Drosophila melanogaster: one gene and its partner. The protein of the gene in region 1 interacts with the protein of each later gene in a pairwise test. Each region holds a gene or a part of one and is shown in the gene's direction. Other genes may lie near its edges.

The links. Proteins that work in one complex are often made in the same cells at the same time.
Region 2: the proteins of CG1738 (region 1) and CG11726 interact in a two-hybrid assay, tested with the Drosophila melanogaster proteins (one large-scale study listed by BioGRID).

Annotation. Positions count from the first base shown.
Region 1 is NC_004354.4:11,345,785-11,351,213, forward strand, and holds CG1738 (uncharacterized protein), read left to right. Parts: upstream 1-3,264; 5' UTR 3,265-3,387; coding exon 3,388-3,936; 3' UTR 3,937-4,063; downstream 4,064-5,429. Other genes in the region: GCS1 (glucosidase 1), read right to left, coding at 1-378, 445-2,098; CG11756 (uncharacterized protein), read left to right, coding at 2,421-3,032; NdufV3 (NADH:ubiquinone oxidoreductase subunit V3), read left to right, coding at 4,312-4,641.
Region 2 is NT_037436.4:11,391,620-11,397,072, forward strand, and holds CG11726 (uncharacterized protein), read left to right. Parts: upstream 1-3,070; 5' UTR 3,071-3,151; coding exon 3,152-4,027; 3' UTR 4,028-4,054; downstream 4,055-5,453.

The DNA of each region.
Region 1 (5,429 bases):
GCTGGTGATGATGCCGCTGCTGCTGCTGCGGCGCCATGGACGGCGGACGCTTCAGCTTCACCTGGTCCGTGTGCAGGCCCCAGTCGGCGTACTGTTCGCTGTACGGCGCCAAATGGAGGCGATTCAGACGCACATTGTCCGTTAAGTACGATGCCGTCTCGTAGTACTTGGCATCGTCCTTGCCCAGCAGCGTGGACAGTTCGGCCATCACACCGGCGGCCAGGGCAATCCAGCAGCGCAGGTCCAGGTGACGCTCCTTGTCCGTGGGATGCGAGGCGCGCGGATAATCGTCCAGGCCGGAGGACAGACTCTTGGGGTTCAATTCGCGCGTGGTGGTCGCGTTCCTGCCGCGCCACAAATATGTGCCCAACACTTCACCTAGAATGGAGCAGTTAGTTAGTAGACGCCACATAGAAAGCGATGGCAGGTGGCTAAGTGACTTACCCCTCTGCGTGGTGTTGAACCAATTGAACCAGGCCTGGACACGCGGATAGAGCCGCTCCAGCGTGGCCAATCTGCCGTTTTGCGACAACTCCGCCCGGTGGCTGGTCAGCAGTTTCTTGAGCGTAAGAAAGAACGTCGGCGGATTGGCGTTGCTATTCCGTTGCGTGACAAACTCCTCGGGCACCTTGGCCAGCGCCTCAACGCCCAGGATTTGCTCCCTGGGTATCCAGCCCTCCACGTTGAGCAAATCGAACCAATGGCATATGATATCCAGCTCGATATCGATGTCCCACGCACTGATCAACAGGCCGTGGAAGCCCTCGTCCCAAAGGAAGCCCCTGGGAAAGAAGCTACGCGACGGCACGGCCGTGTACAGTGGAGCCTTCCAGTAGGGCACCGGATTCTTTGTGTACACCGATTGCACGCGACTGGAGCCATAGAAGTAACCAATGCCGCCAAGCAGATTGCTCAATGCGTTGCGCGCAAATCGCACCTCCTCCGGCGAGTGACCCTTCTGCTTCAGCTGGAAACGATCCTCGAAACGCTGCTCAAATTGTGCTATTTTCGCCTGAAGCGAATCCTGATAGGCTCGTCCCGTCGGCGGCTTGGGTATCGACTCGCCAAGCGAAAAGCCCGACGTCGACTGGTACGTAATGTCCAGCGTGAAGTCCACCTCCGCCGTTATCTGTATGGCTATGAAATTGGGCTCCGGATTGGAGGATGGCAGGCCATTCTGCGAGACTATCTCGCCGGGCAGGCCGATGAAGCGATTGCCACGCTTGTCGGCGAAGGCGCGGAAGTGCGAGAAGAGCGTATCCTTGAGCTTGGCCAGCGACGGTGCCACCGTGCTGAGATAGGATTTATGCAGTATCTTGCCCTTGACGGCATGGAAACGCACTTGGAACTCGCCCAGGCCCTGCGCCTCACCATAGACGCCCGGCTCCGGACTCTTGTCGTCCGACACGTACTTAATGTGTCCATTGGTGCGCTCATCCAATGCCACATACCAGATTAGCGAGATGCTCTTGTCCCACGCCCTTGTCGTATTCCTCACCGATATCCTGGCAGTCCAATCGCCGCCGTACTGCTTGCCCTCTGGATACTTAACGAACGAGGTCTTCAGCTCGAAGGGCAGATCCTGGATCTCTTGAACGCCAAAACTGCGGCCATCGTGATGCGTCCAGCCGTACGAGTCCAGTTTATCGCCCTGCTCGCACCAGTGTCGAATGCCCTGGCCACCGGGGCCCAGATTACTGGGCGTATACCACATCAGGCCCATGACCAGCGAGTGCGGATCCCTGGTCTTCATGCCGAAGTACGTCAACGGACGGTAGGAGCCCCAGTAGCGATCCGGTTGCTCCAGGCCGGCATGCACCACCATCTTCTGGTGATCGAAGGGCGTGTTAACGCGCGTCTCCAGGTAGCCCAGATAGCCGAAGTACGAGGCTATCGCCAGGCAAACGCAACCAATCATCGTTTTCCATTTGTCCAGGATCAAATTCGAGGATAAACTGAAACGCGGGCTGCGCTGCTTCTGTTTGGCATTGGATGCCGCTGCTGCTGCCGCTGCCGCCGCCGCTGCTGCTGCTGCGCTCGATCCGGATGAGGATGCAGCGGGCGTGGAGCCCGAGGAGCTGCCCGTGTTCCTAGCCATTTTGCGCTTGTCCCTTGGCTCTGATTTATCGGCTATTTGTTGTTGCTTCAATTTTCTTGCGAGCGCATTGTTTTCTTTTTTATTTCGATCCGCACTGCGTTGCCGGATCATCCCAACTATTTTCTATGCGGAATTACAAGGGTTTGTGTCCTAGCTATACTATGCTATATTTGAAAACCATAAAATTAATCATTTCCAAAATTTCTTCTCCAAATTTTGTAACAAATCATTTTTCCGTCACATTTCTCGATCGTCAGAAATAAAATCGGAGCTTATGCGTCGCTTGCAATTATTTTAAATTCTTAGTAAACTTTCTTGGAAAATGCTTAAATATTTGGCTGGAATTTTCGTCAGTCCGCGCAATGACTACGCGAATGGTCGCTACAGGATTCCGCATCCGAAGAAGCTGGCCGCCAGGCGAAAGTCGCCCCCGGTGAATATATCCACGAGGAGCGTCATCAATGGCGGCAGGTCGGCAAACGGGAGGCTCAAGACGGAAAATAGAAACGCACGGCGACGTCGAGAGGGCAATCCACATCTGACGCGACCACACAGCCGATCCTCCCAGAAAACCATAGGGATCCGCCTGGATCCCATTAGCTACATCGTAAATGTGCCCAATTCCACTTCATCGCCCGACGACGACGAGGAGGAGGTGCCTGTACCGCAATTGCCCAACGCAGTAAACAAACTGAAGGCTCGAACGTATCGGAAGGAGAATTCCGATTGCCTTATTCCACCGCCAGTTAGTCGCGTCGCGAGTTGGTCGGGTCCTTTGAATGCCAGTCCCTTCAACCAGCTGGATGAGCAGAATTCCATCTCTGACGATGCGGACGCAATGGGCTGGAAAGCGATTTGTTTGCCAGATGATTTTTGGTCGGAGGATTCGGACTCGGAAAGCAAAAGCAAAATGAGTAAAATCAATGTCTTTTAATATACAAAAAATTTATTTTAAATATTATAATAGTTGACCATTCAATAAGATCTTATTATGCTTTTAATAAGTACGAAATTTTACAAATTAATGTAAAGAAATTGTATACTTAATAAATAGCAATAGACTGCAAGCTGAGCAGTTTTTCTGAAACATATTTTGAAATAAAAAGATTTTGTGACGTAATAAGGACATTAAAAAGCGCCACCTTACAAGCAACATTCATGAAAAACGGCGCTGCCAGATGGACCGAGGCGTTACGTGGGAATTAGTACATTTTGGCACTGTACATGTGCATTCAATATTTTGATTTCACTATTATTGCTGCAAATAAACACAGAAAACTGAAAGCATAATGAACGTCAGCGCCGATTTTAAGCCGGTGCCCACGCGTGCAGCGTTGGCGCTGCAAAAGAAGCAGGAGAACACCGAATTTCAGGCACACGTCTTCCACGAATCGCACTTCCAATCGAAAAGTGGAACAAAAAAGCAGGACGACGGCGTCCAAAAATCGCACAAAACCAAGGAGGGCGGCATGGAACTGAATCCCGAATTCGATATCAAGAAGGCGCGCCACGAGGTGCTCAATTTTGCGATCAAAAACCAGCGTGTGATCAAAAACAAGAGCAAAATGGAAATGTTTCAGCTGATCAAGCTGGGCGCCAAGCCGCTGAAGAAGGCCTCCAAAAACTACAAGGAGCTGAAGGACGAACGCCAGCGGCTGAAGAATATTCGCGAGGAGCGCAAGAAGTTCCATCAGTTGGGCAAAAATCAAACGGGCGCCGCCAGCGTCAAATGCCGAACAAAATCGCAAAAGGAGCGCAACGACAAGAGGCGCGCGCCCGTTTCACACATCGATCAGCACTACGGCAAGGCGCAGCCCAAGTTTAAGACGAGAAAATAGTTGTTTATATAGCTCTTAGTTAAATACTAAAACTAGCTTAGTCAAAGGATGGCACTGTTTAAAAATCAATTTATCTATTCTAGCCCTAACGTCAGGCTTAAATTATATAATATATAACTATACCAGCACTGCCAGCATCTTTAACTGTGTAAATAATAATTTAAACATTTAAACCAATTTAAAATATGACCACTTTTATTTTATGCATATTTTTGCGGCCAGGTGGCAGCTTCGCGCTCGTACGTTGCCTTGCCATATTCCTCGCCAATAAGCGCACTTTCCGCGTTACCCAACACGTCCACTTTGTTGATACGTGATTACGTGAATTATTTTTGCGAATTAAACGCTGCAAGCTAGCCAGCCATTAAGTCCAACATGTTCTCGCCCTCACGTGCCCTGCGCCCAGCCCTCAGCCGCTGCTACAGCCAGATCAAGGGCGGACCCGTTTCCGGCGGCGGTAGACCCAGCGCCTCAGGATCTCCAGCTGGAGCCGGATCCTCGCCATCGGGCGGCGCATCCTCGCCATCGGTTGTGGGACTGACCAGCAATTGCGTGAAGCCCAGCAGCGGACCCGTTGGACCAGGTGCCTCCGCCACCGGTGGCTACAAGGTGCCTGAATACTACAGCTTCAATCGCTTTAGCTACGCCGAGGCGGAGGTGGAAATGGCCAAGTACCGCTGCCCACAGCCCTCGGCCCTCAAGTAGATGTAGCCCAATTGTTGATGTTAAATAAAATAAATGCCATTTAAAGAGGACAGTTGAGAATTAGAAAAATCAGTGTTAATCGGTGTCTGTGGCCGATGGGGCAGTTGGGCTGGCAGACATTCTGCAGCACTGGCCGACCGACCGACGGACGCTATACAACACCGTATTACAGCAATCCTCCCCTCTCTTTCCAGTTCCATTTTTCCATCGACAGCGAACCATTTCGAGCGCGCCAATCATAATCGTGTTAATCGTGTCAGAAAGCAAATACAAATTGGTGCGCACATTCAGCTGTTGCAGTTACAGTCGAGCCAAACGATTTGTGTCGCCGATCGCGTGGAATTTCGCCAGCAAAACGCCGAAAAAAGCCCTCGAGAAAAGCAAAAACACACAGGGTCGCTGTGCATGTGTGTGTGTGGTACAGTTGGGTAGAAAATCATCGCCAGAGCGAGTTGCCACCTGGTTGCGCTGCTCCTCTCTCTCTTTCTCGTTCGCTCGCATTTATAATTTTTTTTCTTGTTCCGCCACTATTGCCACCACTTTTGCTGTTCTGCTTTCTGTGCAGCAGCTCAGTTGTTCAGTTCGGTTGTTGTTATTGTGTTGTGCATTCTGGCGTTTTGAAAACATTCTAAATAGCAATAGGCAATCTCTTGCCCAAAGCCCAAAAAGGAAGAAAATATAAAAAACAGTTGCCAATTAAGAGTGACCATCCGCAGCAGCAGCAGCAGCAGAGTTGCAGCGAGAGAACAATAAGCAAAAGAGAGAGCGCGGGCTTGTGAAAGTGCCAG
Region 2 (5,453 bases), on another chromosome or scaffold:
ATTTTGACGGATTAGTTCGCTTATGAGTGGCATCGGCGAAAGGACTTCGAGGAATCCCTTGGCATCCAAAAACCAGTGGGCAAGTGGGCGAAACTATTCGCCATGGGATAAACTGTAATAATGGCCATTATTATTTATTTTTATTTTCCTCCCCGCTGTGTGTGCGGCGTATCAATTTTCATAAAATATCGATTGCCTGGTTATTGATAACCGTGGCTAAAGTCATATTATTTCCCGGTGCTCGGTTCGATGCGGACCAGATCCGGCGTGAAAATAAAACCCTCGGATTGATAAATTTTCCGATTTCAGGCCTGCTCAGGCCGTGCATTTGTCAATTTTGGCGCAGCTCGGTGGAGCGACTTCTGATTTCGATACCGGGAGTAGTCATCTATGCCATGATTTCGGCACAAATGAGATAGTCATAAAGATTATAAAATGGGGGTTGGAAGTCGAGGTAATTCAATGGGATGGTTGTGATTGTCAGAGGGAATAAATTGCCCACATTCAAACTTTTAAGAAAGTGTCTTCATCGTGGAAAATAAATTACCAATGATAGATTCTTAAAATCATTTTATTTCTACTTCAATGGACTTAATATCTGCTCATTGAGGGGTATATTTTTTGGCAGAATTATAATACTCCAAACTTACGATAATGTTTCTCGAACCAAAAGATTTGATTTGAATACCACCATAACAGCACATAGCTAGCTTTTTAATGCACTTGAATATTTAAAGGGTAGCAGGGGAGTAAATAAACAATTAGTTATCCCCATTGTTGAACCCCTTAATGAGCATTTTCCAGCACACCATAAGCTGCATTTAACCAAATCATGATAATTGCTCCAATCGAGACAATTTGCCAAAGCCAATTGATTAATTAATAAGGTGCTCGAGCTTATTCGAAGCTCGGAATAGAACCGGGAAATGATTTTGGGTGTGGCCAGGCCGCCAGTTCTTCAGTCTCTGGGCTACCTACATAATTTAAAGCTAATTAATTTTCCTGGCGCAGCTCATTCGAAATACATCAATCAAAATCCAAGTTGGGGGCTAATTGCATTTACCTGATGACGGTTTTCATTTTGGTACCGCCCCTTCTTCAGATTTTCCATCAATTACCGAACACAATCAAGAAATTACGATTTTTGTTTTGACTTGATGTTTAAAGGGATGTAGACTAAAGCTAATTAACACTTTAAAAAGGCGACGAGTAATTACTTATTTATTGTAAGTTTAAAGTTTTAAAACCGCTTATTAATTGTGATATTATTCCGTTTATTATGTTTCCATATTAGTTATGTCTAAAATGATGACATATTTATGCATGAGATACCATTCTTGGTACTGAACCTTATTTGATATGCACCTCAAATCCAAGTTCTTTTTTACACCTAATCCAAATCATACAACCCTATTCAATTATTAATTTCGATGTGTTGCCCTCTGGTGACCCACAAAGGAGACGGTAGAGTTAAAGATGCCTTGTAGATAGATAGGGTCTACGGACGTGTTCGTCTGGCCCCTCGATATGAGAATTATGGGACACGTTGCTATCGCCAAAAATCTAATGCCTAATCCTCGAAATTAATTACCTTCGCTGCACCTTTGCCACATTTCATTCAGACTGTTTCTATGAAATTAAGCGAAAAGAAAGAAAATTCCATGTAGCTGAAAGCGATCCTAGTGCCCAGATACGAGTAGCTCTCCAGACATCGTACTTATGCCCGTGCACGTTCCGTGGTGAGAGCATCAAGATAGTGTGGAAAAAAAACGTGAAGGCGGAGGCCACTTGACGCTTCCTTCGTGTACACACTGTACTTGCACTGAAAAAAAGAAATGAATGAATAAAAGAGAAGTTCCTTTTTGCAGAAGCTACGGAATATTGAAATATTTGCTACTTCTATGAGATATGGTAATTATAATATACATATATACAATTTAATTTAATATTAATCTAGAATAATAATATATGTATATAGGGCTATCATTTTCAATGTTATAATTTCTAAATGTTGATGTTTATGATATAACCATGTTTTTGAGTGTGGATTTCTTTCGTGTGGAAGTGGAACCCTCTCTGTCTATGGCTTGGATTATAGATGACCCAGGCATCGTCAACTTCATCGTCATGTAAATTTTTGAAATATAATTGGCCTAATATTTTAGCCTGTCCGCTGTCTGTTGGTAATACCCGGTCCCAGACACGTACTACGAGTGTGGCTCGAGGCCCCTGGGCAACAGGCACTTGGCTGGGTTACTTGGCCCGAAAGCCCATAACACTCGTACTGGCGCACTCATGCTGCAGGCCATGATTTTTATCAGTTTACCTTAGTTTGTGTTTGGCCAACGCACCCAATTTTCCACGGAATATGGGTGTAGCCCGTTGCCAGTTGCCTAATGTGGAAACCTCCTTCCATCCTCGCTCGTTTCGGCCCAACCCAACCCAACAAACCAACCGTACCGACCAAACTAACAAATAGCAAACAGAAAACGACACAATCCGTGCATTAGCCAAACTCAAACTCAAACTACGAAACTCCTAACTCAACTCCATGCCACTTGTTTGCTGAACTTTTGATATTTTCCAACCGACGCCGATAGTTGCCAGTTGGGATCCGCGAACCTTGGCATTTGTCTAGTCCGATGGTCGATATATGTGTATAACTGAATCTGTGGAGCAGGTGCTGCACTGAATGCGATCCGCAGCCTGGGAATATTCAATCGAGCATTTTGCCTGGCCAACCAACTATAATTATGCATTGACAGAACGCGAAAAAAGCAATTTATTATTCAAGAATGAAACTTATGCTGAGAAAATGAAGTATAAAGCTTGCTTTATGTAAAACAATCATGATTTTATCAGGATTTAAGACATATCTTTTTTCATTTTTAAGTTGATGAATCAATAATTCGAGTTCATTAGCAGCTAGAAATATATACAATTCAAAAAGATTCGTTTAATATAAAATTATAATCATCATAATTCAATAATTCCTTTACTTATAGTTGTAAAATTTAATGTACACAGAAACATTTTTGTGCCGAAATTGGCATTGCTTTTTGTAGCAGAAAACATTCCCAGTTTTCAAGGAAAATACACCCACGTTCTCATTATATCAATAATACATATATTCTTTATTTGTTGGTAACTGATGGCAAAGATGTCCAAGTCATCGCGTAGCTTCAAGCTGCCACCAGTCAGCTCCTCTTCCGTGTCCTCGGTCTCCGGCAGCGAATCCGGGCAAGGATTGGAAGACATGTTGCACGTGACAAAGGTGCGAACTTCCCAGGTGGACAACGCAGAGCTTTTCATGTACGGCGACGGGCCCAAAAAATCGAATTCAGATCTGCAGAAAAAGGTCAGTACACCCGATCCGGAAGAGGAGGTGTCAATGGAACCACCATTTGTGGCATTGGTCAGCAATTTGCCAATGGAGTGCACTGAAGGCGAGTTGCGGAAAGTGTTCACCAGTTTTTCGATCCGTTCTCTAACCATTCCGAAGAAGGGAAAGCGACCCAAGGGATTTGCGTATGTGGAAATGGATTCCCGCGAGGATCTCGTTCGTCTGCTCAAAATGGATAAGCTTAAGTGCCGTGGTCGTTGTCTTATGGCCAAAATAGGCCAATTGCCACCCGAACCACCGACAAAGGCAGCTGGAGATGGCTTTTCATTATTTACTTGTTCAGGCAGGCAATTTGATATAAACTCTAGCCATTATTCGGCCAGTGTCAGTGATCTCAGCACCATCGATTCGCCAATCTCTGCGAGGAACTCACCATTTCCTTCGGAAAGTGAGTCGTCCTTTTTCGGCAGGGATAATCCTATAAAAAGAATTCCTAGTAGCACTGAGGAAGTGGAACGCCGTATGCAAATTCGTCTTCAGAAACTAGCCGAATTCGAAAATTCTGAATCGGAGAGAATTAAGAGTGAATGCGAGGATGATCCGGATGCCTTCATGTCCTGGAGCGATGCCCTAGACGAGATTAGAAAATCTGAAACTGATTCCTCAAATCATACTGAATCCTAGCAATAAAAGCATGATAATTGAATGTTCAAAATTACAAATTTTTGTATTTATGTAATAATTAAACTTAAATGCAAAAATAGTCCATATATATGTATTAAGCTGACTGCCGCTTATGAATTATTAAAACAATAGGGTTTCGATTTATTTTCCATTTAAAACCTGAAGCCGGGAAACCCGTCCAATGTGCACAAGAATTATGGATCCAAAGTGAGCTAATTAACAAAAATGAAATGCTGTTAATGAACGGTGAAGTGTTCATTTGCCCCTTGGCAACAGCTGCAGGTTACCAAAACCAAAAACCAAAAAAAAAACCGAAATTAAAAGAAAACAATTAATCAACAATATTGACTTAAAGCTGTCAACTGAATTAAATTAAACTGATTTATTAATGTGGCGACAGTTGGGCGATTGAACCGCTGACGTCCAAAATGCGATGGTGACTGTGATTTTGACGCTCCGCCACCCAAAAAGCCGTCCTCTTTGGGCCAACAAACAAAGAGCCAAAAACAATCCAGTAAAGCATACGCTAATTGACCAACTAATTAGCGCATTTAATGGCTGCCACATAGATGTACTTTTTGGTGTATGTGAATAAAATACGGTCACCGAAACAAGAAAGACAGACTTGCTAATGAAATTAACGTAGCGTGGTTAATAGTTTTGCCAAATTTGGAAAATTGTTTTCATTAAATCGGTCGGCTTTAGTTACCCGTTCTGCTCTTGGCGTCATCTTTCTCATGCATTATCTTTATTTCTTTATTAATTTTATTTGTCTGTTAATTCCCGGTCTGCACTTAATGACTCCGGCCCTTGGAGGCACGATTTTTGCCAGCGGAAAATTACTCATAGTCCCCGAGACAGCATGGCGATGACTAAGTTGGCGTCATAAAAATTCAGCCCACTTTGAATCACCGAGAGTGGAAAATTCGGAGTTTGTGAATAGATAGGAAACTAGGCTACTAATTAATATGGGAAAAATTTTTCATTAGCTCTGATACGGTTGATTTTCGATGGTAAAAAGCCGAGTTGTTGCTTTACCAAAAAGCTTTTTTTTGCTCGGTTAGTTTTGGATACATACTAAAATCTTAAGTGTGAATTTATTAATGTAACTAATTGACTCGTTTTCGGTTTCCAAGTCCTTGGTTTATATCACTATACTGTATACCTTTTAGAGTTAATCGAGTTTCTTTTCTGGCTTTAAGGTTCCTCATAAATTTCCATGCTCGGAAAACTGATGAATCTAACTTATTTTCAATTCAGCTTTATCTAAATTTATACGTTTCTCCGTTCCAGCACTTTTGTTGCTTCAATTCATCGACTAATTGCTTGAGTTCGCTTCAATTAGACTGGCCGTTCTTCTAACAATTCGGCCGGTTGCACATAAAATGTCTGTCGACGGCTTTCTCCCTTTTGGCCTCCCGTCTAT